Arabidopsis thaliana: one gene and its partners. The protein of the gene in region 2 purifies or fractionates together with the protein of the main gene of each other region. This does not show direct contact. Each region holds a gene or a part of one and is shown on either strand. Other genes may lie near its edges. The genes, in order: AT3G61111, AT5G15520, AT4G15000 and RS27A.

Region 1 (7,600 bases), on a different chromosome or scaffold from region 2:
AAGCTCACCGAAGGATGCTCTTTCAGGAGAAAGGGTGATTGATTGAAGCAATCATCAAAATAATGAAGGCTGTTTTCTTTTTCTTTTTTTTTTGTTGTTGTTGGCTATGATGTTATCTCTGGAATTTTAAAATGTTTGGATTTTTAATATAAGTAAGCAGAGTTTGCTCTTTTACTTTTGAGATTATCCCCAAGTCTAAAATAGTTTACTGCTTGCTTGCATCTAATCCATTTGGTATCTCAAAATACTCACTTTGATTGGTTGTTTGTACTTTATATTTCGTCAAAAAAAAGTAATTAAAGAAGTTAAGAACTAAATGTTGGTACGTTTGTGTTTGAACTTTGAAGCAACCGTTATGCAAGTTTTTTATCAAGCTGGTCGCCAAGCTCCCAATCGTTATGGATCCCAAACGTTGTTTTAAAACACTGAAGAACGAGGTTGTTGCTAGAAGACCAAAGACATATGAGAGTAAAAAAGCCTTTCATGAACATTTCAGGGCTTTCTTTGATCAAATTGGTAACGAATCCATGAAAGCAAATCCTTCAGTGTCAACTATTAATATTTGAAACAACCAATGGTAAAGGAGGACTGAAAACTGGTTGGTATTAAAAAAGAGACAAGCTTATGATGATATCTGATTCAATCGGTAAGCTTCCTGAAAGAGCATCCTACTGTGAGCTTGGCCTTGCCTCCTGTAGGTTGGCACAGAACGTTCTGACACTTTCCGCATACCACGACTGTCTGTGAGTGACTGAAAATAGTTGTGCTGCAGTAAAAGAACAAAGCCCATAATAAGTTTTAAGTTTCTTAATTTATCTTATGTAACAGGAAAATATTGATTTCAAATCTTACATGTTGATACAGTCAGAGCACCTAACAAGCTACAGTAAAATTAAACAAAAATCAGAGTCCACAGAAAGAGTAGATAAACTTCATACAAGTAAATTAGAATCCGATTAAAAAACTTGAAGTATTACAGTTTCTAAACAGAGAGATTTGGTTTTTACAGGATTCTAAATAAGGAGAAAGGTTTCAAAGTTTTATTACCATGAAATAGGAATTTGGTGATGGAACAAGACGCTTGAGCTTATGCTTCCTCTTCTCAAGCTCAGCCGGAGGATTAAGCAGATCGATATCGTTTTGAAGAACCTGTTCCATATCAACAAATAATAACAATTAACTTTGCATCTCATCAGTACTCAAATCAAATGACACAACCACACTTCTAATTAGCTTACTTCCCATCTCGTTACCGTGATTAAAACCCTTATAACAAAATCAAATCAGGAGATGTAAATGGAGAGCATCCAGTGCAAGAGATCTAACCATCTTCGCAAGACTCTCAAGAGACGACGGCGAAAGCTAGCAAGCAACGGCAACAATTCGCGAGAGAGGTTTTTATAATTACTCACTGCCGGTTGTGAACAAACGAGGATGGGAATATATTAGGTTTACTTAGTTACTTGGAGACCAATTAATCTGAAAATCTTCTAGAATGGGCCTAGAGCATCTACATAGTTAAGAAAACACAACAAATTTGACCTTTCAGTCAAAGTAGAGGCTTTATTTACATTCTCTTTTTTTTTTTTTTTTTTTTTTTCTTTTTTTTTTGAACACGAATTTACATTCTCTTTTTATCCATAAATAAACAAACAAAAAACATCCTAAATTTGTCTAGTTTTTTTTTTTTTTTTTTTTTTAACTTTTTCTTATGTAAGTCTTGTTTCCAAACATTTTTCAGTATGTAGAGAGAATTTCAATAATATACTAATACTACATCCATAAGGCACACTGCATTAAAGCAACCATGAGGTGAATCTGATTCTGGTAGCTAAGATTCATAACATCAAAACTCCTCAATTACGAATGATGTGGTTGCAAATATAAACTCAAAGTAATAACAATGAGCCAGAGATTACAAAGGTTTGTGGAATGTTCATCACAAGTAGTTGGAAACGATCAAAATGATCAAGGCTCTGCTATTTCAATATTCATCCACCGTGCAGAGTCGAAATGAAAACTATAACATCTTTATCTTCTAATGTTGTATCGAGCTGACCACTAAGTTCCCAATCGCAGTCATTAACCAGCACGAGAACTCCAGGCCTCCTGCGTTTATGAATTCCAAACCACCATTGTTATTAAACACTAAAAACAGAGTTCTTGCTGGAAATCAAGGAAAGAAAAGAGAGAAGCTTTACACGGTATCGCCTTTCATGAACATTTCAGGCCTTTCCTTGATCAAATTGGTACGAACCCATGAAAGCAAATCCTTCATTGTCAACTGTACTGAATGAAACACCAGTGAGAAGTTTTACATGACTATAATAAACTCAATGGTATTTAAAAATCATCAAAAGAGAGAAGCTTACGATATCAGAATCATTGAGTAAGTTGATGTTAACTTTATGAATCTTTACGGAGTCACAGAGCAATTCTAAACCTCCACTGCAGGAGATCAACAAGCACATATTTTCATGTTAATACCAATACGAAACTCTCATTCACTACCAATTGATCTGATGATGACCGGAATGTAAAAAGTCTAAAGTCATTTATGATTTTCCCAATCCAAAAATCATTACTTTATTAGCACTGAATAAGCAAAACAAAGATAGGCTTATGCTACAAACTGTGCATTATAATATCCCAAGCAAATAGAGAAACCATAATCTAAAGCACTAAGTTTTCAGTTTTTTCCCGACCAATAAACAGGCATTGACATTTGAGAGTCAATCAAATGAAATCAAAATATAAACCACTATGAGAGTGGGCAAATGACACAAACGAGTAATAGTGTACCCGAACTCAAGAGTAAATTGCATCTTCAATGAAGTTTTGCGGTAACAAAACCCTTCTTCTTCTTTTTCTTCTTCTCCGATTCTCTCCGATAGGATCTCCGCTTTGAGTTCACGCAAAACTCCATACGACGTCGTTTTCGTTTTCTTGGTTTGGGCCCTTAAAGTTAGGCAACATGATCACCAAATATCAAAGCCCTTCTTAAAAATACCCAAACGCTTATTGAAACAGAATCACAACAGTTTGTTTTCTTAGGCAAGAATCAAAACAGTAGACATTCTCCGGCGTGTGACATTCAACACGTGGAGATAGCGCACGAGAACGAGATCTTTCCGCGTCATCATTTAAACCGTAGATATCACATAGAAGAATAAAAGTTTCCGCCACGATTCCGCCGAATAAAAAAAGACCATATAATTCGACAGTTTTCAATTGTGGCTATATCTCATGTGACATTCAACACGTGGAGATAGTACAAGAACGAGATCTTTCCGCGTCATCATTTAAACCGTAGATATCACATAGAAGAATGAAAGTTTCCGCCACAAATCCGCCGAATAAAAAAAGACCATATAATTCGACAGTTTTCAATTGTGGCTATATCTCATGTGACATTTAACACGTGGAGATAGCACGAGAACGAGATCTTTCCGCGTCATCATTTAAACCGTAGATATCACATAGAAGAATGAAAATTTCCGCCACGAATCCGCCGAATAAAAAAAGACCATATAATTCGACAGTTTTCAATTAATACCCAAAGTGTACCGAAAATATTTTTACCCATTTTGAGTGTCAGCTATTTTTTTGAACATTTTGTTTGTAGTTTGAGTGTTTTCTAACGTTCGTTTGGTGTTTTTTGGTCAAGATTGGTGTTGACTAGTTTCGACTAGTTGTTTGGTATTTTTTACTCAATCGCAATTTTGAGTTTCTTTCACTAGCGCTCGTTTGTTATTTTTGTTGGTTTTATTCGCTTTGAGTGTTTAGACTAGCGATTGTTTGGTATTTTTTAATCAATAGAACTTTTGAGTGTTTTTTGACTAGCGATTGTTTATTGTTATTTTTGTGTTTTCCTCTCTACGTTCACTCTCTGTGCCCGTGTTCACCCTATACATATATGCATATGAGACACGTTCACGCCTTGCGTAAGCACATTCACTCCCTATCATACATCTATTATGGATATATGCATGAGACAGTCACACCCTATCATTCATCTATTATGCATATGAGACACATTCATGCCGCACATTCATACATCTATTATGGATTTATGCATGAGACATTCACACCCTATACATCTATACATCCTTCATAAACAAAAATACACATATTGCATATACACAGCCGTGTTAACAACTTCAAAAGGCTGGCCAGTGGCCAAGCGCTTCAATGGGGAAACTCTCGGACACACACAGTCACTTGTCCACCCTCTGCAAAATCAATAGAAATCTTCAATACAATTTTTTTCTCTACTAGTCAACAATTTCGGTACATGCATAAGTACGTTTCTTACAAAAAAAAAAAAGAGGAAAATTCTCTCTTGGTTTTCACAACAATTATAAACCCATTCTACGTTTTCTTAGACATAACATATAAACAACTCATAAAACCATCACACATAAAATTAATCTCACATCAATGAAGTCATCAAGTCAATATACTGGATGTACAATTAACGAACAAACATATATAACTAAAAATCAGTTTTATTAAAGACGTACATATATATATATATATATATCTAAAACCAGTTTACGATCAGAGACACATCATTAGAGTCAAGATATAAAAGGGATTTAAAACGTTTGTTGAACTCCATAATTTTTTTTTGAAAATTGACGAACAAGGTTATTAACAGAGACTGACAACAATCTTTTAATAGTAAACAAACTATAGATTATTTACCTGTAAGATGTTGCCTTTATGTTTGCTTGAGAGACTTTGAGTGACAACACAAGTGTGAGGACGGAACACAAGTCGGCGAACAGAACTAAGATGATAAAAACAGAGTGTATTTAACATTTGTAAGAAAAAGAACAAAAGAACGAGTAAGAGAATTCAGATCATCTGTCCGAAGAAAGTAGTACTTATAGAGTCCATTATCTTAATTTTTCTATTAAAAATAATAATTCAAACAGTCATAAAATGTTACCGTTTCACAACGTTCGTTTATTCCTAATCTCAAGGCAGACTCGTGTAAGAATAAGAGTCCATTATCTTAATTATTTTCATTAAAAATATCTAATTCAAACGGTCAAATTAAAATGTAGAAAAAGTTTTCAATTTAAAATATTTATTCAAAAATGTTACCGTTCCGCAGCGTTGATATTTTCCTACTCTCATCAAGTCAAATAAAAAAAAACGTTTAAATAAATTGGGAACTCGTAAAGTAAACAGTAAACACATCCAAGTAAATGTAATTTAATTAATTTTTCTGCTATCAATCTTTTGAATTATTCAAGTAATTATATAATTATTCTTCACGACTACTACTGCTGCTGCTACTACTACTACTACTATTTGAAAGGCATCATCTACTTAATTATGGTCTTCCACTGCATTCATTGATGATTTATGTTGTCTAAATTTCCATAATTCCTTTTTAATTCTTCGATTCTTTTTTTATTCTTCTTTTTATGTTTGTGTGTGCTTCTCTGATATGTTAATACCAGTTTCAAGTCTACTAGTAGAAAGTAAATTCGATTGATATCGTTCATTAACAACAACACATACTACACTATTACCAATATGAAACGGTTGAGTTCTTTTCTATTTGTTCTTTAGGACGGTTAACAAAAAAATCCACTAATCGCAAAAAAATTAGTGGTACATACTTATCCCATATATAACCTCCAAACAATAAATCAACGAGAACTCTAACAAATAATTGAAATTAAAGAAAAGAGTATGTCTTGTGAAAAAAAAAAAGAAAAAAAAAAAAAAAAAGAGTATGTCCCGATAGTAAATGACCTAAACGCTTCGTCGTGACTCAATGAGTCCAAACCAAGACAACGAAACCCATCATTGGACAAAGTTGGTCTCAGCATCACTTCTTGCATTACTCTTTGTCACCGAAGATCCTTCACCTTGCTCATAGTGTTGTTGAAACCTACATATGTATCATATTCATATTATATATGTATCCAATAAGGCCAAATTTATTCATAAAACCATGACTTGTATTTCATCAGTAGAGAAGCAAAAATATCGATTATTACGTACCCAATCTGTAAAAAATATCCAAGGTTGCAATCCGATATATAATTTTGATGAGTTGATTGCAAGGAAAAATCAGTGGAACAACCGGCGGTGAGCACCGGGTTAAGCAGTAGGTCTTGAAAGCCTTTAAAATCATGATCTTCTGTCTCAAGCTGATTATGAAGATTATCCATTTTATAAGATTTATGAGTAGACAATACACTAATTAACTAACACAAAATCATAGTAACTAAGAAAGACTTGATATATAATTTGGATGTCCAGTTAAAAACATTAACCTTTAGCTTATTGTTTATATCTCCGAGCTCCCTCTCCTGCCATTCCAAATACAAAAATGATATACACATGAGTACATTTACATACAATGCATGCATATATTGTAGAACATCATTTCGAGTACTTGCCTTTCTCCGAAGCTCTTCCATTTGTTCCATCATAACCTGCGTCTATATACATACATGCATATAAAGATATACATTTCAATAATGTATTTTGCAGGTCTAAATGATGCGCAAGAAAAATTGGTCTACGTATGAAATATGTCATGCCTTTTGTTTTCGGGTTGCGGAAAGAGCTCCTTCAAGCTGTCTCTCCAGCGTCTGCAATTCCTTTATACTCATCCCTTCAAGATCTTCCCCAACCAAATTCCTTTTTCAACGATTCAAAACGATTATTAGTAGCAGAAATTAGGAAATGTACAATTATAGGAAGTAATGGATTACGAGGAGTACGATTAGTTAAACCTATGAGTGCGAAGAAGAGATTCGTATTTGCATTTGAGCTTTGTCACCTCTTGACGCAAGCCCTGCACCAAAAAGCAGAAGATTAACTACAATTTATCTTAGCTCTATTTATTTTATACATCGTTATAATATAATAGTTAGTTTGACTATGTATACACTTAGAATGAACAAAGGTCAAATTCCGTATATATATAAAGATAAAATGAACATACTTAAGAAAAAAAATGATTGACCTGAGTATCTTCAAGCGTATCATTGTCCAAAAGATTGTCTTTACAGCGATAGTACCTCTCAATGGTTCTGCCAACTCTACAGTTTATAAAACAAAAGAAACCACAAGATATTTTAATTAATAATCTGAATTTGCTTAAATTCAAAACCAAAGAACGAAAACCTTAAGTTCTGTGTTAACTTTTAATGCATGTCTAAAGGAAATTCTAATTACACAAAAATCTCTGGGAAGATATATCTGCGTAATGGATTATAGATCTACGGCTACCCATGATAAACCCTAATTAATTTCTCTAATTAGAATTAGAAAGACATATCTATTTAAAGAGGCAAAACGTATATATGAGGTTTCATGGATCTTAAGGACATACACATATCAAAGCTGGTGATAACAATTAAAACCCAAAATAAAACAAAGAAGTTTTCTTTCAAAAGATTTACCGGATCTAAAAGCTAAACTGACCCATATGTCCGATGGATCCTGAGAGATCGATGGATGGTGATCAACCTTAACTAGTTAGGGTTAGAATAAAAAGACATAACCTTTTTCAGATACCCACAAGACAGAATTTGGTTTCTTGATCTTAAGAACAGACACAAATCAA
Region 2 (8,645 bases):
GCGATTACAGAATCCAAGGCAGCTGAGATAGATTGTAAATGCGGAGAGAGGAAGAAGGGGAACATGAAGTGTGTTTGTGTTGCATATGAAACTCTGCGTGCTTCGCAAGAGGAGTTCTTCAAAAATCGAATTGAATCAGAGGAGGATAAGGAAGCTTTGGAGGAATGCTGTAATCTCGGAAATGGCGATGAACTAGAAGGAAAAGAATCTGGAGAACCGGAGAAAACAGGCGTTTCCACAATGAAGAGATCAAGAGCTAAGGTGGTGGAAGAAGCACGGCAAAGTGTGCCTGTATCTGGTAAAGTGATGAATCTTGTAGAAGCATTTGAGAAACTCACTTGCTTTAGTAATTCAAAGACTGCCAACAAGATAGAAGAGAATCAAACCGAAGAGGATACGAAGAAACCTGTGAAATTGGAATTCTTGGAGGGTGAGAAAGAGAAAAACCCATGGAGTTCTTCGTTTTGTCCATCTGAAATGGTCTTAACAGCTAAGAATCTGGGTTTAGACCCCAATGCTTCGATTTCTTCGTCCTGGGACAGCACCCGTGGCAGGTTAGTTTGTTGTTGACTAAGAGATCTCACTGAAATTATGAACTTGTCTTGTTCTGAATAGTTTGATATTGTGATGTTTCAGTGTTTTGAGTGGAAGTTCAAATGCTGGCAGGAGAAGTAGAAGAAATGTAAGTGTCCTGCATGCAGCATCTGAATTTTCTTAGCTGTTTAATGGTTGTCTGTCTTGCTTAGTATGTCAGTATAGTTTAATAATCATTTTGATATTTCTGTTTATGGCAGAGCATGGAGTCATCGACTACAATGGGAAGTAGAAGATCAAAGAAGAAGCAGGTTAAGGTCACTTCATTGAAGCCGTTTAAGCTTAGAACTGAGGTATGAGTTTCTTTAGATTAAAACTAAAGAAAAATTTCGAATTTTATGGTGGAAATTGAGTCATGACAGTTGGTTGGTCTTTTGTCTCTCTGCAGCAAAGAGGTAAAGTGAAAGAGGAAGAGTTAGCAAAAAAGATACACGAAATAACAATGGAGGAAGAAAAGATGAGAATCCCCATTGCTCAAGGTCTTCCATGGACAACCGATGAACCTGAGGTAAGCATGTTCTGCTTTCCTATTAACATCTCAATTGATCTTGTAAGCTCTAGTAGTAACAATAGTGAGAGATGATGTCTTGTTGACTATGAAAAGTTCTAATGTTGTTTTCTGTTTCAGTGCCTAGTGAAGCCTCATTGGAAAGACATTACAAGACCAGTCGACTTGACGCTCCACTCAGATGTCCGGGCAGTTGAACGCGCAGAATTTGATTACCAGGTAACCTTGCTAATGCAATGATTAAATCTACATTTTGTTGGGCTTGAAGTTCAAGATACCTTAAAACATAGCCGCTGACATGATTTGGCTTCAGTAACCATTTCATTCTGTCAAATCATTTAGAGTATACTTGTTTTCTTATCAGCTGGTTGTGTTAAGACTTGAGACGGAAAGGAAAATAGCTGATAGTGTCAAATAGTGTGTATTGTAGTCTGTAGCCAAGGTTGACTTGTCTATAGTAACTTTGCATTGTTCCATAAATTTCTTCATGTTAAAGTCTGAATTTTTGTTGTTCTAGGTTGCCGAGAAGATGAGCTTCATTGAGCAATACAAAATGGAAAGAGAAAGACAACAGAAGGTAAACTTTAATATGAGATGTTGTGGCCATATCCGATAATAGAGTTTTGCTTTAACTGATTTTGATAAATCCAATATTGTTTTTAGTTGGCAGAGGAAGAAGAGATAAGAAGGCTGAGGAAAGAATTGGTCCCAAAAGCACAACCAATGCCATACTTTGATCGACCATTCATTCCAAGAAGGTAAAAGACTGGTACATAAATACTATCCTCTTGAATCTTTCTTATTATGAGAGCATGATAGGTAATATAGATATTGTTTTCAAGTGAGAAATATGTTTTCAATATAGTTTTCACAGACCAACTAATAGAGTAAACTTTCTTATAACAATGAACGTCATTGCAAAAGCTGACACAGTTGCTTCTTGTTGTTTTCTTTTACCATTAAAAGGTCGAGCAAACATCCAACTGCACCACGAGATCCCAAGTTTCACATACCGCAACACAAGAAGATCAGATGCTGCAGTTCATCTTCTTGGAGTGAAACTGGCTCCTGCATGAGCGATTTCCAATATCAGTTTCTCTAGAAAGCTTCTTTTGGATTTACTACTATATCATCCTTGTTCATATTCTCATTTTCAAAACTACATTACCTTTCTGTAACCAATTAGTTGCAGTTTCATAGATTTGACAATCATTCTTGTTTCACCTTTGTAATAATAATCTGGTCTTCACCCAAGAAAATGAGAAAGATTCCATATTGTTTGCAAAATCTGGTTTGATCTGGTTCAGAAAGATATAATACTTATCCTCCAGTTTGAATTTGGATTTAACTGACTTATCTTATGATTCAATCCGTGTTCCACCTCTCATACATTTGTTTGCAGAATCCGGTGTACATTGGTTTAGTTCTGGTCAAGAAACATATGTGAGTTTTAAATCATCTTCCAATTTAAATTTGTATATGACTGACATACCAGAAGAGTTTTCATAGAGAAGAGTAAATTGTTTCTTGAGATTTCTATGAAGAAGAGTAAACTTGGGATACAAAATCACTGTAAAGAACAAAACTTTAATAGCTTCATCAAATATCAAATTAGTTCGTCAAAATGAACAGAGCAGAAGAGAGTAGAGATCTAAAATCACAAAAGCTAAAAAGATCTATAACATTCTTGAGGCTCCTCCAAAGCAAGCATAAGGAGAACAACAGCTCTTCATGATTCAGCTGCAATACGCCCAGCAACCTGATCCAAATCCCGTTGACCGCTCGAAGTGATTCTTCTCCCTCTGAGACAAAGAATGAACAAAGGAGGAGAGATGAAAGTAAGTCACTAACAAGGTCTTCCTACGAAAAGTGCCTTTAGAAAGAAATAAGAATTACCCTTTAGTGTCAAGCTCGACAATGCTCATTGTCTCCAACTGTTGGAGAATATGGCGAGCAATACCACCACTGCTCTTACAGAAATGTGGTGGTCGACTTCCATTTCTTTTGCTACCTCCATAAATTCTTCTGAAAGCACCAACACCAAGACCTCCTCTCAAGTAAATCTTTCTGGCCATAGAAGCTGCACCATACAAGATATCAACAACGTTCATAACGACTCTATAAAAACAAAAACAAGCGAAGAGAAAGCTAAGCTTTTTTTTACCAGCTCTAATGTAGTACCAATCAGGGTCATATGGAGCAAGCTCCTTCAAACGACCAGTCTTCACAATGTCTGTCCATAGAGGAAGCTCAATCTAAATCAGACAAAAGAGACAACTATTATTACAGTGAATTTCCAATTAGCTGCCTATGATCACTAACATCAAGAATCTATCATTTCTATCTCTATTTCTCTCTTCCTCAGTCGTTTTATAGTATTCAATGCCTCAAAATCACACCAACACATTGAACTACAATATCAGAAGCTCCCTCAAACTCTCAATTGTTTCCTCTAAAACTCATTATCAGATCCTTTTGTGACGTCTTTCGATTCTCAGCTGAATCAATCAAACTTGAGAGAGAAGCATCAAAACACTAACCTTTCCAGATCGCTTGAGGTGAGAAGCGTAAGCCTTCACGAAATCGTGAGGAGAAACATCTTTCACGGTTTTACCAGTCGCCATTTCACGAATCACTCCGTTAAGTTAAGCCAAGAGCTTTCAATTTTCAGTCACAAAGTCTATATATATCTGAGCAATCAATTTTCAATTAGGGTTTTTTTCGGACACACTGAACCCGAATCGACCCGCCTAACCCATTATGGGCCATTAAATCTATTTAAGCGGCTTATACGCTCCGTTTCAGTTAAAAGTGTAGTTCAGTCTTAATTATTATTTTAGCTACTGAAAGTTATAAAGATAAGATATGTTTTTGACCAGAAGCCACAGACAAGTTTAGCTGAGTAAAAAACGCATGGTCTTGTCTTCAATAAAACCCCACCTATCTGCATTTACTGAAGTGACCAACTATAAAATATGTTAAGTGTCACTGGATATTGTTGAGTTTTAAATCTTGCAGACATTATGACCAAAGATTGGATCAAAAAGACTGTTGGATTTGTGAAACAAATGCAGATTACATGGAGGCAATCTCTGAAAGACTGTTCCGGTGATTAGACCAGTAACACATGTATAGCTGAACACACATATCTATACATATCTATATCTATCTATATTGGTGTATTTTGTGTATATACTAAAAAATAAGACAGAGAAACACCGAGGCACTATGTTATGACATGGCACGATTGAACTGATAGAAGACAAAAGGAGCGGTTTGGTGAAGTTAGTTAAAAGAGTTGGGTTTCTTCGTAAGCATCGAAATCAGATTTCTTTACCAAAGAAAAAATAAAGAAAAGAAAAATATAGCAAGTACACTGCATTTCAACACTCTCATATCTCTCCTTCCTACTTCCTCGGTTTCATCGTCCACTGTCTCAACAATGGCGTCATTGTCGGTACCTTGCGTCAAGATCTGTGCTCTGAACAGGCGGGTCGGATCTCTCCCTGGAATCTCTACTCAAAGATGGCAGCCGCAACCCAATGGGATCTCCTTTCCCTCCGATGTTTCTCAGGTTTCTTCTGCTCCTCTTCTTTCTCTCTCTGCCTCTCTTGCATATGATGATTCTATAAAAAAGGTGTGAGCCTTTACGAAAAGATTTGCCTTTTTTCTGTGTGTGTTTTCCACTGCAATGGTGCTCGAGTTGGTGACTGTTTAAAGTTAGTATGCATTGATTCATAATTCTCTGTTCTGTTCTTCTCCTGCAGAATCATTCTGCATTCTGGAGGTTGCGTGCAACAACTAATGAGGTAGAGATTGCATGTTTTTTTTACCAACAATGGTCCATTCAATTAAACGTTAATTGTACGACTGTGTAACCTTCTTAATCATTTCGACTTTACCAAGGTTGTTTCTAACTCCACTCCAATGACTAATGGTGGGTATATGAACGGAAAAGCGAAAACCAATGTTCCTGAACCCGCCGAGCTCTCTGAATTTATGGCTAAAGTCTCTGGTCTTCTTAAGTAAGTCCACAATCCAATGAATCCCTTACTATCCTTTAGTTTGCTTTCTTTCGATGAACTAGTCAAGCACTAAACATTTTGATCTTATTAAGGCTTGTGGATTCAAAAGACATAGTGGAACTTGAACTAAAGCAGCTCGACTGTGAGATCGTTATTCGAAAGAAGGAAGCTTTACAGCAAGCTGTACCACCAGCTCCAGTTTATCACTCAATGCCTCCTGTAATGGCAGACTTTTCAATGCCTCCAGCTCAACCAGTGGCTCTTCCTCCTTCTCCTACTCCTACCTCAACGCCTGCAACAGCAAAACCAACATCCGCCCCATCCTCGTCTCATCCTCCACTCAAGAGTCCCATGGCTGGTACTTTCTATAGATCTCCTGGACCCGGTGAACCCCCTTTTGTAAAGGTACGAAAGAAAGGAAACAAAAACCTGCAAAATATTTGTTATTGGTTGAAGTTGAATCAAAGTCTTGAAAATTCTCTCTATCGAGATATGAACAGTTATTACATTTGAAATGGATGTGGGTTTGTTTTCTGTTTGCAATTTGCAGGTTGGAGATAAGGTACAGAAGGGTCAAATTGTTTGTATTATCGAAGCTATGAAACTGATGAACGAGATTGAGGTCTGATATTCTTCTTTATAACATTGTGATAACTTACACTTGGAAATTTGCGAATTTGAGGTTTCAGAGTCTTTAACTTGTGAAATCGTGTCTTGAAAACAGGCTGAGAAGTCAGGAACCATCATGGAACTACTGGCTGAAGATGGAAAACCAGTCAGCGTTGACACGGTACCGATCTCTCTCTTCGTTTTTTATTTTTTTCACAGTTCTTTCAGATCTTTGACTTATGGTTACTTATACAACAAATTATGCAGCCTCTTTTTGTCATCGCACCTTGAAACGAAGAAGGATCCTTTTAGCTGCTTCAAAACATCTTCAAAGTCTCGGTTAAGCTATAGCAACGTGCTAAAACTCATCAAGTAATTATTTCAGCTTAAGTTGGTTGGTTTCGGATTTCTGCTTGTCGCTTCAATAATTGACCCATCTTTTGGGATTTCACGTAACGTACTACACTTTGCTTTTTAGTTTTCTGCGAAACTAATGTATTTTGTAGCCTCTCAATCCTGGCTCTCTGTCCCATACTTCAGTTTTTTACACAACGCACTGCTTATAAAAGCACAGTTAAAGGTGTCTAAAGGAGAATGGTGTGTCTTTGACTGAGGCAACAAATAAAACAGTGAAAAGTTAAGGTTTTACATGATGCATTACCTTAATAAAACATGTTTCCATGTTTTCATCTATAAAAAAAGAAGGGAAAAACAGTAGCATAAAAGCTTCACTTATCATGCTATCGATGGTCAAACGAACCCACTGCAAGCAATCCTCTTTTCTAGCGTTTATGCATTTGTATTATAACCAGAAGTAGTTGAGGCCTACAGAAGTATTTGAGCAGTTGGTGGCTGCTGATAACTTCCTCCGGTTACACTTTGGGACCTGAGACCTTGCAGTAGTTTGAGAAACTCAGAGGGTTCGGGTGGATAGGGTCGTAAAACTCTAAACGCCCTCTTGATCTTGAGGTTCGCAAAGTCCCTGGAGTAGAGTGTCAACTCGGTCGGCATAAGTATTATGAGTTGACGTGATTTTGGAGCAACTTGCGGTAAGGGCTGCAAGCTGAGTGTTGCAACGCTCCTCAAACGAAATGAACTTCTTTAACAGTTCACTGATGGTGCATTGTTGTTGATCATTCATCATCTTCTTGATTTCGTCGAGCGTAGAGGTTTGATCTCCGTTTTTTGCCATAGCGATTCCTATTCTAGAGGCCCCTCCTTTTGGCGCCAAATTATGGATGTCAGAATCCTCCCTTAAGAATTTCTTGAAAGTGTTTAGTATTAATCGTGATAGAGTTTTGTTACAAGATTTTTTCGTCCACCTTACAATACAAACCCTTCTCTATGTATATGTGAACCTTAGACTATATTTCATAAATGCAGCCATTTTCCCGCTGTGAATACACTTAAACGTAACTTGCAATCCGCGGAACGAACTATTAAATGCAAGATCCGAAGAACCGAATCTGAATGGAACCGATCCGAGTAACTAAATGGCCAAGCTTATCCCTAATCCTATATATGTTTATAGCATTGAGAGTGCTTCCTGGAAAAGTTCCAAGGAATCAAAGAGAAAATGTGTGAATGAAAGAAAGCTTTTTCACTGCTCTGATTCCACGTCACAAATTGAGAAATGAAGTCGTACCGACTTTGAAGATTATAGAAATGAAAAAACTTCTTATATAAACTATAAACCTTAGTAAGTAGTTTCATAAACTTCTGTTTAGCACTCATTCATCATACAATATAAACAATTGCATTTAGAGTATGTGTTCGTGTTATGCATTTATGTTTGTATTAGTGTGAGCACAAAAGTTACGTTTGTGTGTATGTTTACGTTTAGTGTATGTATTCGTGTTATGTGTATATTTGTATCAGTGTGCTCTAAAGACGTGGGTGCTTAATTGAGGTTTGGTTTATAAAGGAAAAATTGATCCACCTAAAAAAAAACACATGGAAATATTAAATTTGCAGCCAAAGGAGAAATAAGCCAACAATACTAAAGTATCTAAAAATATTCATGCGTAAATGTATTAAGTAAACTTCGGAATCTACTTACTTGGAAATAGGAGTGTTGAAGACGACGCACACCCCAAAAGCTCCAATCATGCCTCTGATTAAAGAATAAAAGAGTTATGCTTTGCTTAAAAATACATCCAAAGGCTCAAAACTGTACCAGATGTAAGTAGAGACCTCAAAACTATACATTTGGTTTCAAAGATGAGAATGAGGTTTTAGACGACAAATGGGTGGCAAAATCAGAATTGCGTGGACTTCGAGAGATAATAACCCTTTAGTTCCTGCAAGTTTGATATATATAAACCATAAATGAGTACAACAAGACAAAAAGAAGTCACTGAATGTTGAAAAATCATGAGATCTCAACTTTGCAGCAATATAAACAATATATAAATCACAAATTTGGTTAATCTGATCAAAACCTGCTGATTTTTTCGGTAAAAATCGGCATTGTCCACTATAACAATTAAAACGCAAGCAACAACACTATAACACTGAAAAGAGAATTCATGTACACAACAGACAACACTACCACCAAAGATGCCTAATTTGAAAAACATATCAGATATACGATTAAGAGTCTTTGACATAAATAAAACTTGCAAGAATAATTGGATCAATACTTACATCTTACTCATGTACACAATGCCTTCTTTATGGTTCCTGCAAATAGAATATAAAGATTTTTTCAAATTTTGATTCTACAAATGGTAACTAAGACATGTAAGCGTTAAGTGCCTTTAACCGTGCTTTATTTTAAGTACTTACAAGTTCAATATAAAAACTAAAAGAGTATTAGTCACGAATTCACTGATGTTAGGCCAAACATTAACTATATGATATTGTACGTGATATTGAACATTCACTACAACAATTCAAACACAATGAGT
Region 3 (7,552 bases), on a different chromosome or scaffold from region 2:
AGAAAAGGTAAAGACTTTGTTAATGGGTAAATAAGCCTAGATCCTCTAATGAACAATTCGAGAAAAAAGATTTGAAATTTCGCAGACCTCATGCACCAAATTCTTAGCCGGAATAAACAATTTCGATACAAACAAAACAAACCCGTAAAAAATTTGTACAAGGAGATGAAGAGAAAAGACCTGATTTGGTTTGTGGCCGGTTACGGTGAATCGGTTTCGGGGAAAGTGATAAAATTCCGGTACAGTAGCTTCGGTTCTGGAGAAGAGGAAGCTGGAATCAGCCGGAGATGGAGATTTCCGACGAACGGCGGAGAGAATCAGAGGAGGGTGGAGGATTGCGATGGCGGAGAAATCGACCCGGCCCGTTTTTAGGGTTCGAAGAAAATAGGTTTGGCAGCTTTTTCTGGTTTATGACCTATAAATCGGCAAATCTGTATCGTGACGTCACCAACCCAATTTTGCTAAAATTTGTTTTCCGTTTTTTAACTTTTTTTTGTTTACCCTTGATAACTAAAACGACGTCATTTCCTTTAGGGCATTTTCTGATTGAACGACGTCGTCTTTTCTTCTCCGATTAGCGTCGGTCGTCTTCTTCGTCTTCTCTCTGTCGCTGATCTGGGTTTTGCTTCAACGTGAAACATCTTTGAGGTTGATGATGAGGTTTCTGTTTACTTAATATCCTGTGAGAGAAAACTCTTCTTGACTTGAGGTATGATAATACTCTAATTATTGTTTATTTTGTGTTGGATCAAATGGATGATAAGAACTTGTTGATCTACTTCTAAACCTCTTAATTTTGGAGACTATGATAAGAGTAAAGGACATAGTATGTTTGAATACTGATACTGTAGTCTGTAGTGTTGCTGACAAAAACGTATAGGTATATGTACATTTGTTTTCGCTGAGGCTAAAGATGGATAAGCTTCTTGAGAATCATCAGTTTGCGACACATGCCATCGCTGCCTCGGCCTCTGTCTCGTTAGGAACTGCTCTCGCTTATCCTTTAGATACCATCAAAACCATTATCCAGGTTTTTTCCCTCTTCTTCACCAAATTGTTCTTTTTATCACTTAGATTCATCTGGGGATTAAGAATAGCATTGAACTACAGGTTGGTTCAGGACCCAATAAGAAATTAAGCTCCTTTCAAGTTTTTAATAGAGTTCTTCGATTCTCTGGCTATTCAGGTTCGCAAACTACTCTTTTAGATTCCAATCATTTTCTGATTCTGCATCAGGCATAATGACATGTTCTTCAAATGCAGGTCTGTACAGTGGTCTTGGATCGTTAACTTTAGGAAGAATTTCTGGTTTTGGTGCAAGGTTTGGTGTCTATGAGATTCTAACAGCTTTCTACAAAGGTATTACACAGGTCCATGTCTCCTTTGTTGTGTCTGATTTCGATGATTCAAGATTAGGTTTCTTTGTGTCTAGCTCCTCTGTCAATTAGCTCAATAACATCAGTTAATTAGTCAATACAGCAATCATTTGTTCATGGATTATGTTAGAATATGCAACAGTGTTCACATACATTCATGTCATTTATACGCAAATTTGGTTCCTTTTTGGGCAATACCTTTGTCTTGAAGAATCTGAATATGAATTCATTTCGCTCCAGATGGTCGACATGATAACTACGTGAGTGTTGGTGAAGCTTTTCTGGCTGGTCTGGTGGGAGGTGCAGCAGAAACAGTGATGACTTCTCCATTTGAGCTAATCAAAGTCCGAAAACAAGTGACTGCTGCATCACGGGCTCCAAATGCTTCCGCTGTTGCAGAGACCGCACCGGTCTCACCCATGATCACAAAACTGCTAAGAAGATACACTCTTGATGTAAAGTCATTGACACAAACAGTCAGTCTCTTATCCGTCTTAAATCACAAACACCCAAACATGACAGCTGCTTTGCAAGAGTACCCTTGGATGATGACTGGAACAGGAAACCCACCATCAGCCATGGATGTTAAGAGACCGCTCGATGTTGCATCACTTGAAGGATATAGAGCTTTATGGAGGAATCTACGTTCAGGTCTTATAAGAGATTGTATTTACGGTGGAGTATTCTTTTCAACATGGCAGTTTCTTCACGAGGCAATGGTCGGTTGGAAAGCTGTTGGGATGAATCCTCTGCCCAGGTACTTAAAACTCTCAATCGACACTGAATTCTCAATTCACTTGAACTTGGATTGTTGATTGTTAAAATGATTATGCGGAAACTTGATGAATTCAGTTCTGAAGAAGAAGTTGGACCTTTATCTCCGGTAGCCATTAGCCTTGCTGCTGGGATATCTGGTGCCGTTGCAGCTGCAGCATCACATAGCTTTGACACAGCAAGAACACGTGCACAGTGTGTAATATTGCCAAAGGTTTAAAGAAACTCTACTCATGGCTTTCCACTTTATCTTACAAAGAGATATGAAACTCATTTTCTCTGTTGGGTTTCTATTGTTTTACTTACAGTATACAGCAAAGGAGAGGAAGTTTCTAAAATGGAATAAACCAGGGAAGAGATTAGAGAGATGGACAGGAATCCATCCTACAGACAGAAATCTCTTGTTCCGAGGTATTGGGATGAGGATGGCTCGAAGCTCTGTTGCATCGACTGTGATCGTAGGAAGCTATTACTTAGCTGTCGATTTATTGGTTCCCAAGTGAGAAAACAAACAATCACATAAGCCTACAAATCTGTCTTTAGATCAGATTAACGATACCGCAATAGTGATTGTTTTTTAGTAGCCTGCGTTTTGTTATACAGTTAACAGAGAAATCATATGTGAGTTTTTCTCAATACTCTGAAATAAATAATTAACATCATTGGCTGTATCTGTAAGTTTGATGATTACAAATTATCAATTTCCTAGACAAATGAAACTCGAAAATTTGCTGTATTTTACGACGAGTTTAGGAATAAGCTACTTGCAATGGGATATTCAGAATCTAACAAAAACGATACAAGATTCAACTTTTGGTAAATACATTTCCCGATTCTATCAAAACTTAATGCCAGAGAAGCTTATAAACAAAGGAGATATAGCCATTGTATCAGAACCTTGCTCAAAAAACAATTAGCTATTGATATTTTGCTAATTCAAAACCGTGATTAAGACAATTAGTAACACCAAATTCAATTTCGAAGATTACGAAACTTGAACATCTATAATTTTCTAACTAAGGCTATGAACAAGAATTCTTTGCAATGGACCTCCAGATTTTAACCAATATCAGCCTAAAGACGTTACTAAATTCATCATTTCCTCAAGCCTAAGCAAATATAATTCAACGGAAACAAAAGAGTAAATAAGAATGCATTAGAGAATCAAAATAAAAGATCAAATCCATAATCCAAACTTCAACAAAACATCTTCCACAATCCAAAACAGGATCCACATTTTTCACCATGGGAAATGAACCCTAGAAACTAAAAAACACGATAACAAAACGCTCAAAATGAATTCCTCACGAAATAGAAAATTTCTTCAGAACCTGAGCTTGGTAAAGAACCATCTGTTCTTACCGGTTTTGAACCTCTCCTCAAGCTTAGCCTTAGCTTCCTTAAGAGCAGCAACCTTCTTATCCTTACTCTGAAGAGCATCAAGAGTCGCCACTTCCTTGAGATCCACGTCGAGTGTGTAACGAGTAGGCATCAGATGCTGGTAATTAACAAGCTTGATGAAACACTTAACCCTAGATTTCTTAGCTGTCTTCTTAGCTGAGTCTTTGCGGATGACTTTGCTCGGGTACTTCTTGAGTCCGGCGACGAGGCAGTGTCCGTAAGGACGATCACGGTTACCGTCGTCGAAGGATTTGATGATGACGGCTTTCTTTCCGGCGTAACGTCCTTGAAGAAGGATCACGGCCTTGTTCTGCTTCAAGAACTTCACCATTGTTGCTTCGTTTGGTAGATCCCTCTCACTTGTCTCTCTCTCTGGCTGCTATGAACCCTAAGTGGCGGATTCTATGAGAAATGCGGCTTTAATAGTAATGCAGAAAATGGATGCGGAGAGAACCTAGTTTCAGTTATTGGGCCTTTAGGTTAGACCCATTTTTAATTTGGGCTTTATATTCTTATCACACGGCCTGGTAAACCTAGCTTCAGTTATTGGGTCATACTAATTCTAGTTTTCCTTTTTTTTTTTTCTTACGTTCGTACAAACTTCAAAAGAGTTATTATTACAAAAACTTTTTTTTTTGAACTAACAAAGACATATATAAAATTATACAACTGTTATGGATCCCATTGATAATACAAAACTGTAAAAAGAATTAAGTTGTTAGCTGGAGTTGTAAGTATTTTTGAAATAGTGCAAAATTTACAAAAGAATTATACGAGAGAGCTGTAAAAAAAAAAAAAAGTAAAACTTTTAGTAACGGTTTTGATAAAACTTTTATGATTGGTGTTGAAGCTATCCAACTCTATATTTGACTGCTAATTTTAGTTACTCATATATGTTTTTTGGCTTGCTCATAGCACTACCACTATGTATAGTGACTAACTTTTACAAAATTACACTTATACTATCTACAAAATTATACATTTATCATATTATTATTGGAATTGTTTGTGAAACTATACATTGTATCGCATAAAAACATGCTGTCTTTTTCTCAAAATCTTCTAATTTTTCGATCAAGTTCCATACTCAAAATTATCAATTTAATTGTCACGAAAATTTCGAAAACCTTTCTACCAATATTTTAAGACTTTCAAACATGTCTACTTTCGTTTTCGATCACAAAATTTACCTTTCATCATACGAACAAAGTTGGAAACTTCTTCTCGCAGCAATCAATATATTTGTTTATAATTCTACTAAAATGTGTCAAATATTTATAATTAAAAATTGCATGCTTGACTTTTCTAGCCACTGCGAGACTATAGTCTATAATTATGGACTGTTAACATCATATTTGCAGATTATTATATATTTTAGAAAACTTTGCTTGGCCGGTTATATCGTGTCTACGCAAGTAAGTATATAGGTGTCATATTTTATAAAAAATAGACCATTTGAATTTGTGTATAATAAATTAGCAAATGAGATCAAATTGAACCGACCGGATGAAATCCGTTCACATGGACCATATAACTTGTCCCTCCAGTTATTTTATTTTATTTCGTCGATGTGTATTTAATTTTGTTAATCTCTATGCAATTAAGTTTTCATAACTAACTTATTTGGTTTGGTTGAGGAGTTTCAAACAAGTAAAAGCATAAACTTAAAAGGAGAAAATAGGTGGAATCATATATTTAGAAGGATCGTCTTACTAATTAGAATCATATACTAGTAGTTAGTGGATGTGGTATAACCTATATGGCTATATCAATTAAATTGTTTTTCGTAGTTATCCAAAATAATTACAGAAATAAGACGAATTCTCGTAGTTATCCAATAATTTATTTAATGTTTTCATATAAAATCTGAAGCCTAGAAATGCAAATTATGAAATTATGTATGGTTTACATGTATAATTGTTTATAGTGGTCTCATATGTTAAAAAAATAATTTTTTTTAATCGTGAATGTAGTGTGGATTACACGAAATCGGTCGATGTTTTTCAAATGCCGCAGGAAATTATATTTCTATGATAAGAAAATGTTTATGATCACTAATATTAGTAGACACAGCAATATGTAATAAATAATATTAAAATAGAGAGAATAATAAAATAAAAAAGCAGACAGCACTAAAAAAAGGTTATTCTTATCTTTTGTAATCACTATCACTAATTTTAGTAACATACTGTATAATTTTAATTAAAAGAAAAAAAAGTTCGGAAAGTGGAATATTTTTACTTTTGATTTTTTGTCAACAGAAGAGAATTTTTCCTTGACGACAAAAGAAAACATTTTTAATTTATTCTCTTTTATTTTAACTTAACGAACCAAAAAAAAAAAAAAGGTGAAATGCTTATTTCAGACAGAGAAATGAGGATTTGTTCGAGATGTGTCAATGTTACGCATAGCACAGGGCAGAGATAATAAAAAAAGGCTCTCTCTTTCTTTCTCTCTCTCTCTCTCTCTCTTCTCTAATCTAATCTAATCAAAAATCTCTTCTTTAGGAAGAGAAGTTTCCTCCTTCGACTTTCTTCTTTCTCAATATGAATCCCGGAAAATCGGGAACCTCTAGCGATTTCAGCTAATCTTTACTTACCTTTTCTTTAGTTCTGACAAGAAGTAGCAATACCCTTTTGGAGATTCGATCGTATTCGCTGTTTTTTTTTTTTGTGTTTTAGCTGTCTTCGTGTCTCTGCTACTTTGTGTTTGATCATGGAGAGATCTGATTCTAGAGATTTCTACAACTTCGCTAAGACTTCTTCTGGTCAGTTCTCTTTCTTGTTCAGCTCTTTTTGTTTTCAAATCTAATAAAAGTGTTTTTATTTTGTGATTCATCAGTTTGCTAAAGCTTCTTTCTTTGATCTGAGATGTGAATGATTTGATTTGCTTCTGATTTGTGAAAACTTTAAGAGAAACATACTTTTTGTTTCATGCTTGTTATGTTTGATTTATCTTCCTTGTTACAGTATTTGATTCGTTTTTTTTTTAAGTTTTGTAGTAACCTATAAGATTTACTAATTTGATTTTTGAAGTTGTATGAAATGATTGAAATGTCACAGATTTGTTTACAAAAGCTTTAGTTTTACTTAAATTTTCTGGTCAACTGATTGTCACTTACCTCATGTGTTTGATGAAACTGGATCTTATTGTCTTTGTGCAGATAACAATAGTGCACTCTTTGACGCATCTCAATATGAGTTCTTTGGTCAAAGTCTTGAAGAAGTCGAATTGGGTGGTCTTGATGATGATGGTACTGTTCGTGGACATGTTGATGATGAAGAGTATCACTTGTTTGATAAAAGAGAGGTAATTTGGACTGAGTCTGTTCTTGGCAATATTTGATGCTAATTATATATGAGATAAATGGAAGATAAAACAAAACATTTACTTCTGGTTTCAGGGTGCTGGTTTAGGATCATTATCTGACATGGATGATCTTGCCACAACTTTTGCAAAGGTTAGCATATTGTAAATTCCGAATTATGACTTTAAATAATTCTGTTTCTACTAATATCATTTTGTTACCATTTTTCATCGTCTCTCTTGAGACAAATGATCTGTCTTTCTCAGCTTCTTATTATTACTTGTTCTCTACTTTAACTTATCTTATTATTTGGTCTTATCTTGTGCAGCTGAACAGAAATGTTACCGGGCCCAAACACCTTGGAGTAATTGGTGACAGAGGATCAGGGTCCTTTTCAAGAGAAAGTGAGTTTTGTTTACTGTTTACTATTCTTGTTCTTCTATGTTACTTTTTCTTCTTCTTGAACTATGCAACTAAAGGTAAAAACTGTGAGCTTGTACTTTTAGATATCCACTTCTGGAGGTGAATGATTGGAGTATTAAGTTGTGGTAGTTGGAAATATAATTACAAGTCAACAAAAAAAAAATCCATTATCAGCTTTTTTTCTAACAGTAGTTTTTATGTCCAGGTTCTACTGCTACAGATTGGACTCAGGATAATGAGTTCACAAGCTGGTTGGATCAGCACACAGTTG
Region 4 (8,164 bases), on a different chromosome or scaffold from region 2:
TAAATTAAGAAACTTAAAACTTATTATGGGCTTTGTTCTTTTACTGCAGCACAACTATTTTCAGTCACTCACAGACAGTCGTGGTATGCGGAAAGTGTCAGAACGTTCTGTGCCAACCTACAGGAGGCAAGGCCAAGCTCACAGTAGGATGCTCTTTCAGGAAGCTTACCGATTGAATCAGATATCATCATAAGCTTGTCTCTTTTTTAATACCAACCAGTTTTCAGTCCTCCTTTACCATTGGTTGTTTCAAATATTAATAGTTGACACTGAAGGATTTGCTTTCATGGATTCGTTACCAATTTGATCAAAGAAAGCCCTGAAATGTTCATGAAAGGCTTTTTTACTCTCATATGTCTTTGGTCTTCTAGCAACAACCTCGTTCTTCAGTGTTTTAAAACAACGTTTGGGATCCATAACGATTGGGAGCTTGGCGACCAGCTTGATAAAAAACTTGCATAACGGTTGCTTCAAAGTTCAAACACAAACGTACCAACATTTAGTTCTTAACTTCTTTAATTACTTTTTTTTGACGAAATATAAAGTACAAACAACCAATCAAAGTGAGTATTTTGAGATACCAAATGGATTAGATGCAAGCAAGCAGTAAACTATTTTAGACTTGGGGATAATCTCAAAAGTAAAAGAGCAAACTCTGCTTACTTATATTAAAAATCCAAACATTTTAAAATTCCAGAGATAACATCATAGCCAACAACAACAAAAAAAAAAGAAAAAGAAAACAGCCTTCATTATTTTGATGATTGCTTCAATCAATCACCCTTTCTCCTGAAAGAGCATCCTTCGGTGAGCTTTGCCTTTCCTCCTGTAGGCTGGCACAGAATTGTCTGGCAGTTTCCGCACACCACAACAGTCTGCGAGTGACTGAAAACAGTAGTGCTGCGATACCAAAACAGAACCCGATAAGATTATGTTCCTCTATATATGTGTAATAATGTCGAAAAAGAAAGAGATTGTTTTCAGAACTTACATGTTGAAGCAGCCTTGGCACTTCACATCCTACAGTAGTAAGATATACAAGAAAAGAAACAACAATCAGAGTCCATAAAAGAGTAAATGAGAATCAGATACAAATCAAATTCACAAACTCAAAACATACATACAATTCACAAACTCGAAACTAGTTACATAGATTCTCAAACTTACATCCAAAAATCGCCATCACATAACACACTGTCAAAGCTAGGGATTATGAGAAAATCATTAAACTCCAAATTAACATACAGTTCTAATCACAGAGACTTATTTGCTAAAGGGTTCAAGAGAAGGAGAAAGCTTTAAAATTTTGATTACCATGAAGAAGGAATTGGGAGACTGGACAAGACGCTTGAGCTTGTGCTTCCTCTTCTCAAGCTCAGCAGGTGGGTTAAGCAGATCGATATCGTTTTGAAGAACCTGTTCCACATCAACAAAAACAAAATTAGCTTAGAGCATTAGATCAACCCAATGATGAAAACCACACTTCTAATAAGCTAATATATATTTCGTAAACGTGACTAAAACCTAAAGATTCAAGCTTTTTATAGAAGAAGATATCAAAAGAGAATTTACATAAAACTCTTGAGTGACTCGAAATTTCACTAAAAGGATTCGTTTTTCTATAACAAAATCATATCAAGAGACGTATAGGGAGAGAGATGAAGACGAGAATAAAGTGCAAGAGAGAACTAACCATCTTCGCAAGAAGCTAAAGAGACGACGGCGAAAGATAGCAAGCAACGGCAACAATAGGCGAGAGAGAAAGGGTTTCTAGGGTTACCACTTAATGTCTCCTTTATATATTAACACCATAATCTGACCTTGCTATCCTTTTGAACCTTCTCATCGAATTGGAGGGTTTACATTCTCTTTTTATTTTAAGAAGAGTCATCCACCAAAAGACAAAAAAGTAAATTGTTGACAGTGGGATTTGAACCCACGCCCTTTCGGACCAGAACCTTAATCTGGCGCCTTAGACCAACTCGGCCATATCAACTTTTGTTGCTCTGTTTCGATTTCTAAATTACTAAACCAAAGTTCCCGGACCATTTCTTTTTAAACCCAACCAAACCAAGAGAGAGCTCGCTCTTCCACCGCCGCAGATCTAAAACCCTGATTTCTCGGGTGTTGGTCGAAACCATGACCACTGGTTAGCTCTCTCTCTCTCTATCTCTCTAATAGTATGTGGAGGAACAAATCAATAGTAATTCTCTGGATACTGATTGTTAATGCATTTTGCCGCCTTTTTTGTATCTAGAGGAAGAGGATAAGGTAGTCGTCTTCTGGGACGTCGTAGAATGCCCACTCCCTGATGATCTCGAGCCTTCTGAGGTTTCTGAGAATATCGAATCAGCTCTAGATAGACAGGGTTATCTTCCTTGTAATGTGTCAATCAGGGTTTACGGTAAGAAGAATCATGAGTTCAAGGATGAGTTTCTCCTCGCTAATATCATGTTCGTACCCGCAGGTGATCATTTCCTCTCCCTCTTTAACACTACTCACTCCCCTTAGTTGTCTTAGATATCTCCATTGATATAACTATGGTTTTCAGGAGATGCAAATGCGAGATATAATAGGATGGTGAAGGATATTGATAAATGGGCATTGGACAATGATGAATCAGATTTGATGGTGATCTCACGAGTCAACTCGAAGTTCGCCACTTATCTCGCAGATTGGAAAGCCAAAGACTTGTACATTTTCGGAGCAGAGCCAGAAAAAGCACCAGGGAAATGTAGCAACTGCAAAGTTACGAGTTTGGACGAGCTTTTCACTCAACAATGGGTTTGGGAAAGCCTATCACTTGGAGGAGACCCTATCACCCGAGCTTAGTTAGTTATTCATCGTTTCAATCGATTGTGAATTCTACTTGACATTACCGACTCGAAATTGGATTGTTTTAACATTTTCGTATCTTCTCATTAATCAAAAGGGTGAATCTTGTTATAGTTCTTAACGTTTTCTGTGTTAAAATTAAAAGTTTGTTGCTCCTTTGAATGCATTTGCTGCTCTTAAACTCACTCCTTTGCATGAATATTGATTAATCTTATAATAAAACTGAATATGATACTTGTGGGTTCTGATGAGTATTACAAGTTCCCGACATAGATCGAGTAGTAGGGGCTGGTTAAGTCAAGTTCCCGGTACGACCAGTTCAGCTGCTCTTAAACTCACTCCATGGCCTTCCCAGTATTACAAGTTACTCAAAATGTAAACTTGCACAGAATTCTTGATTAGAGAGATTGGTGTTGTTTCTCATTTTGAACAAGACTTTTTTTTTTTTCATCTCATTTTGAACAAGACTCTGTTTACTATATACTAGTAGAAACGAGAAAGGAGCATTCTATGTTCCAGAATTCACATTTTGAGCAACTTGTAAATAAGAAGTCCCTAGTACAACACCCACAAAAGAGCCCATTAACTTCGTTGTACAGAATGCAACCATTCCGGGACCATTTATTTTAAAGCCCAACCAGAGGCCCATTACTGACCCTTTCTAGTTGAGGAACAATTAATAACTTTTGTCCCAATGTTGTCAACTTTGTTCAGAAGAAGTCTCTCTCAGTCTAGGTCACTCGAAACCATGTCTTCTTTGACAAGCGAAAATGCTGGTAAGCTCTCGTTCTCTCTCTATCATGTCATTTGTAATGGATCTATTCAAATTGTATTCTCTCGATGCTGATTTGTAATGCATCTTCCGTTTTCGAAAAACCTTGCTGACAGAGACTAAGGTAGGCGTCTTCTGGGACGTGGAGGAATGCCCAGTCCCTGATGGTGTGGAGCCATCTGTGGTTTGTGAGAATATCAAACTTGCTCTTGAGAAAAAGGGTTATCGTCCATGTAATGTCTCAATCAGAGTTTATGGTGAGAGGACTAATAAGTTCAAGGATGACTTTCTCCTCGCTGATATCATGTTCTTACCCGCAGGTAAAGAAACACAGTACTTGTCTTTTTCTTTTACTTTATGTCCGTATCTTAGAGATCTCTGTTGATGGTTTCAGGAGATGAAGGAGCGAGATTTATGAGGATGTGTAATGATTTCTTTTGCTGGGGAAATGACAATCGTAAATCAACTTTGATGGTAATGTCACGAGACAGCACTGAGTTCGCCTCTTCTTTCGTAATGTACAAAAACTTGAATTTCAACATTCTCGTAGCACAGCCAGAAAACGTAGACAGAAAATGTCCTGTCTGCAGAAAGCCTTTGGAAATGATCATCACTGACGAATGGGTTTGGGAAAGCCTCTCTGCTGGAGGAGACCCTCTCCCCAAAACCCAAGAAGAACCAGACCTTAGTAACTCTTGTCATTAACTATGCTGCTTTTATTACTAGTTGTTATTTGTAATGTTTAAAATCGATTGTGAATTCTTCTCTCCATCACATTACCACCTATGTACAACCAGATCATCGATTTAAACATGTATGACAGACATCTTTCTTCGTATAAACCACCTTACATAACACCAACACACAAATACACACATAAAGAAAGCATATAAGCAGCAGCTTTCCCTCCTCATCTTAAGCTTTGAGCATCCGTAGATAATCATCGATGATTGACATCGCAGATGATCGGTAGCCCGAGCCAAACAGGTTATAATGGTTCAAGTAATGATAGAGCAAATACAGATCCCTCCTCTTCTCATATCCCGCTTGTTTTGGCATTACCTTGAGGGAGCAATGAAACAAAACAACCTTTAAACTTGATTTTAGTTGATACAGAAACTGTGAGAAAAGGAAGAGAACCTTGAAATAGGCATTGTAGAAAGATTCTCCAAATCCTGCGCACCACGACATTCCAAAATCCGCCTCGTTATGCCCATCTGTGGAGGAGGAATGAGATCAAAACGGTGCTTGAAAATGGTAAAATATATCAAGAATTTGAGAATGAAAGCTTATACAGTAACAGGCAGGATCAAGAATGACAGGTTCGTTGTTCTTGTCGTATGCGATATTCCCGCTCCAGAGATCACCATGTAACAAGCACGGTTCTATGACAACATTCTCAAAGAGAGGTGCCATGTTCTGTATCAGTGTATGACCTGTTCAAATATTTTCTTCAAACCTTAAACCAATCTGTTCTCACCAAGTTTATAACGAGAGAGAAGAGAGAAAGAAACCTTTCTGATAAATAGCAGAGTCACCATACTGATCCCTAGCTAACTTAAGCTGGTAACCCAATCTCTTCTCACCATAAAATTCAATCCAATCCGAAGACCAAGTATTGATCTGCGGGGTACTAAAATAGGCACATTGCACATCATGAAGATTGTGAGAGAAGACAGCAACTCAATAAAAGTGACTAAGATTTTTGAAAATGGAATTCATTCCACCTGCCAATAGTGTTGTCAACCTCAAAGCCAAAACCTTTCGAAGTTTTCCCGGCTTTATGCATCTCAGCTAGCTTCCTTCCTAATTCAGCCTAATGACTAATAACCATGAACCCATGAAACTAAAGTTCTTAACATTGGTTCATAGTTTATATTCATCATTATCACCTGATTGCCTCTTGATCCCCCAAAATCTATAAACTCCATGATGATATAAGATCCACCTGTTGGCAATTCCCCAGCCTGTTAACACTTTTAAACAAGAATCTATGATTAGAGAGATCAACAAAAATAATAATGTATATACGCCAAAGAAAGAAAAGAAAGATTAAACTTGCTTTGTGTGGATTTGGAACACGGATTGTTCTGGTTTCATACATAGCCTCAAGACCAAGAGCCTCTCCCTCAAACATGGCAGGTCCAATACTCCTAAAACCAGTGTAACAAACAACAAAACATTAAAAGTCTTGACTATGAATACCAGAGAGGTTTAGTAAGACATCAATTAATATACCTGTTAGTTTTAACGAAGAAAGAACCAGCATCAGTTTGATAATGACTTGCAAGATTAATGCATCCACCACCAACAGAACCAATCTTTGTTATCTGAGTTGCTTTTCCTTCTGTAAGAATCCATTCACGAATTGGATCCTCACTCATTGCAGCCACTAACCAATCAATTAAACAGATGAAATTCAATTAGTATGATCAAAACAGTAACTAAAGTTTGCTCTTTTGAGAACAGAGAAATACAAAATTCGTAAATTTGCCTCCATTATATCAAAACAATGAAATATTGTTCATCCAACACCAACATAAGCTAAAGATAACTTACTAGCAACAAATTTGGGTCGAGGAGAGAAGTTGCGAAGAAGAAGATGTGGCCGAGCAGAGAAGCAAATACTAAGAGAAGCCACCGCCATTTTCTTCTTCTCCCGGCTTTGGTATTATTCTTCATGTGGCCGTTATTCAATTTCCCGTCCAAGCTTATTTCGGTGACTGTTTGGATACAAAGTTATCTTCATCCTTGTCTTGTTTAACTTCAGAACCAGCTTTTTAAAAAAATGAAAAAAATAAGGCTTCTTGAGGCCTGGCCCATTAACACTACGAAACGCTGCGTTTTAAGATGTGTTCTCCTTCCTCGATAAGTGTGCCACACGCGCGTATAGATGAGGCCTGTGGTGTACACGGAACTTATCGACGGTTAGAAATGAAACGATTAGGAGATTAGATCGTTGAACAAAACGACGTGTTTTGGTCTATTTATAAAGAAAGAAATAAAAAGGAGAGATGACCAAACACGCCTTTATCATAGTTTCTATCTCCGATGACACAAAACGAGGAAGATTATTTGACATTTTAAGTAAGAACAGCTAGCTTTGCCATCTCCCTAAAGGCAATAAATCTCGGATCCACTTTCACGATATTTTGATATTTTTTCTATTTATAATCTTTCTGGGTTTTGAGTCTTTTGAAGGCTGAATTGCTCTGAAATCTCAATTGTATAATCATCTCCTGGGTCGTCGTTATCGTGATCATCTAGGTAAGTGGATTGGAATCCCAATTTCTGAAATTTTTGAATGTTTTCAAGTTTCACATGCCTTAGATTTGACGTTCTTTTTCATTTTTGTAAACTTGCTAATTGCATTGTTGTGTTTTAAATCTTTGTGGTTGGTGATGAAGTTAATGTTCTGGCTTGAATTTGATCAAAGCCAACATTTTTCTCATGTTTCTCATTAATCAAACGTGACTTTATTAGAGAAGGATGAATTTTGCTATAGCTCTTGATTTTTTGTGTGTTTAATTTAGATGGGAACAACTCTGTTTCTAGATTCATAGTTTAGTTTGAGCTCGTGTAAAGGTGTGTTGATGAATCTTGGGTTGCGTTGTTGTTGTTTTTCTGACAGAAGAAAGCATGACTACACTAGATTTGACCAGAGCCGAGCTTGCTCTTATTGTTCTCTATTTGAACAAAGCTGAGGCTAGAGATAAGATATGCAGAGCTATCCAATATGGTTCCAAATTTTTGAGCGGTGGCCAACCTGGTACTGCTCAAACTGTCGACAAAAACACCAGCTTGGCGAGAAAAGTTTTCCGTCTTTTCAAGGTCATGCCCTCATTGTTGCTATTTCTATCTTTGTTTCTTAGAATTGGAACCGGCTTCATTGTTGCTTCTTTCTTATTATTTGGATTGAAAATGTTTTGATTTCTGATTAGCAAATGGTTTCGAATGTGCAGTTTGTCAATGATTTTCACGGTCTTATCAGCCCCGTGCCTAAAGGGACTCCACTTCCTCTTGTCTTACTCGGGAAGGTGCTAAAGAGATGTTGAATTTTCACATCATTTCTTCATATCTTGATTTGATTCAATCTCTTTAACTTCTGTTTTTGTTTGTTGGTTGACCGTTTCAGTCGAAGAATGCGCTCTTGTCTACCTTTTTGTTTCTTGATCAAATCGTCTGGCTTGGTAGATCCGGCATATACAAGGTGAGATAAGTTTAAGGCAATAATCCATAATGGTCTTTTGAAGTTTTGATGTTTCATTTGCTCTGTTAAGTGACTAAAGATTCTTGTTCAATCGCATCGCAGAACAAAGAACGAACTGAATTGCTTGGACGTATATCACTTTTCTGCTGGCTGGGATCATCCGTTTGTACAAGTGCAGTCGAGGTTTTTTTTAATCTCTTCTCAACATTTTGATTTGCTCGCGTATAAACATAAATCCCGATCTTGATCTTCCTATGTGTATCAGATTGGTGAGCTTGGAAGGCTCTCTTCATCTATGAAGAAGATGGAAAAGGAACTCAAAGCTGATGTAAAAACTCTCATGTGTA

The links.
Region 1: the proteins of AT5G15520 (region 2) and AT3G61111 fractionate together in Arabidopsis thaliana (co-fractionation; one large-scale study listed by BioGRID). This does not show direct contact.
Region 3: the proteins of AT5G15520 (region 2) and AT4G15000 fractionate together in Arabidopsis thaliana (co-fractionation; one large-scale study listed by BioGRID). This does not show direct contact.
Region 4: the proteins of AT5G15520 (region 2) and RS27A fractionate together in Arabidopsis thaliana (co-fractionation; one large-scale study listed by BioGRID). This does not show direct contact.

The regions. Positions count from the first base shown.
Region 1 is NC_003074.8:22,612,591-22,620,190, forward strand, and holds AT3G61111 (Zinc-binding ribosomal protein family protein), read right to left. Parts: upstream 1,413-7,600; 5' UTR 1,330-1,412; coding exon 1,327-1,329; intron 1,150-1,326; coding exon 1,048-1,149; intron 882-1,047; coding exon 853-881; intron 767-852; coding exon 640-766; coding exon of another isoform or gene 623-639; 3' UTR 501-622; downstream 1-500. Other genes in the region: RS27A (ribosomal protein S27), read left to right, coding at 1-42; AT3G61113 (Ubiquitin related modifier 1), read right to left, coding at 1,992-2,109, 2,202-2,284, 2,373-2,448, 2,803-2,825; AT3G61117 (uncharacterized protein), read right to left, coding at 3,840-3,968; AGL13 (AGAMOUS-like 13), read right to left, coding at 5,824-5,911, 6,025-6,173, 6,300-6,335, 6,426-6,467, 6,570-6,669, 6,765-6,826, 6,998-7,073.
Region 2 is NC_003076.8:5,034,411-5,043,055, forward strand, and holds AT5G15520 (Ribosomal protein S19e family protein), read right to left. Parts: upstream 4,345-8,645; 5' UTR 3,727-4,344; coding exon 3,643-3,726; intron 3,358-3,642; coding exon 3,267-3,357; intron 3,183-3,266; coding exon 2,999-3,182; intron 2,905-2,998; coding exon 2,832-2,904; 3' UTR 2,611-2,831; downstream 1-2,610. Other genes in the region: AT5G15510 (TPX2 (targeting protein for Xklp2) protein family), read left to right, coding at 1-554, 637-682, 795-887, 983-1,102, 1,223-1,321, 1,620-1,679, 1,766-1,860, 1,977-2,178; BCCP2 (biotin carboxyl carrier protein 2), read left to right, coding at 4,545-4,676, 4,870-4,911, 5,009-5,127, 5,220-5,532, 5,678-5,749, 5,852-5,917, 6,004-6,027; AT5G15533 (uncharacterized protein), read right to left, coding at 6,247-6,345, 6,409-6,426; AT5G15537 (uncharacterized protein), read right to left, coding at 7,621-7,675, 7,796-7,849, 8,383-8,418.
Region 3 is NC_003075.7:8,568,226-8,575,777, reverse strand, and holds AT4G15000 (Ribosomal L27e protein family), read right to left. Parts: upstream 3,963-7,552; 5' UTR 3,883-3,962; coding exon 3,475-3,882; 3' UTR 3,417-3,474; coding exon of another isoform or gene 3,391-3,416; 3' UTR 3,097-3,390; downstream 1-3,096. Other genes in the region: AT4G15025 (uncharacterized protein), read left to right, coding at 91-372; AT4G15010 (Mitochondrial substrate carrier family protein), read left to right, coding at 914-1,030, 1,111-1,186, 1,264-1,359, 1,617-2,133, 2,229-2,364, 2,459-2,653; AT4G14990 (Topoisomerase II-associated protein PAT1), read left to right, coding at 6,267-6,318, 6,715-6,860, 6,955-7,011, 7,187-7,262, 7,487-7,552.
Region 4 is NC_003074.8:22,605,242-22,613,405, reverse strand, and holds RS27A (ribosomal protein S27), read right to left. Parts: upstream 1,886-8,164; 5' UTR 1,697-1,885; coding exon 1,694-1,696; intron 1,417-1,693; coding exon 1,315-1,416; intron 1,021-1,314; coding exon 992-1,020; intron 901-991; coding exon 774-900; 3' UTR 501-773; downstream 1-500. Other genes in the region: AT3G61111 (Zinc-binding ribosomal protein family protein), read left to right, coding at 50-176; AT3G61100 (Putative endonuclease or glycosyl hydrolase), read left to right, coding at 2,140-2,149, 2,258-2,467, 2,552-2,832; AT3G61090 (Putative endonuclease or glycosyl hydrolase), read left to right, coding at 3,584-3,611, 3,724-3,927, 4,002-4,312; AT3G61080 (Protein kinase superfamily protein), read right to left, coding at 4,523-4,824, 4,903-5,043, 5,122-5,240, 5,335-5,423, 5,500-5,574, 5,670-5,760, 5,846-5,999, 6,167-6,254; PEX11E (peroxin 11E), read left to right, coding at 7,247-7,438, 7,570-7,644, 7,743-7,817, 7,920-8,000, 8,083-8,145. UniProt on the Arabidopsis thaliana protein: May be involved in the elimination of damaged mRNA after UV irradiation.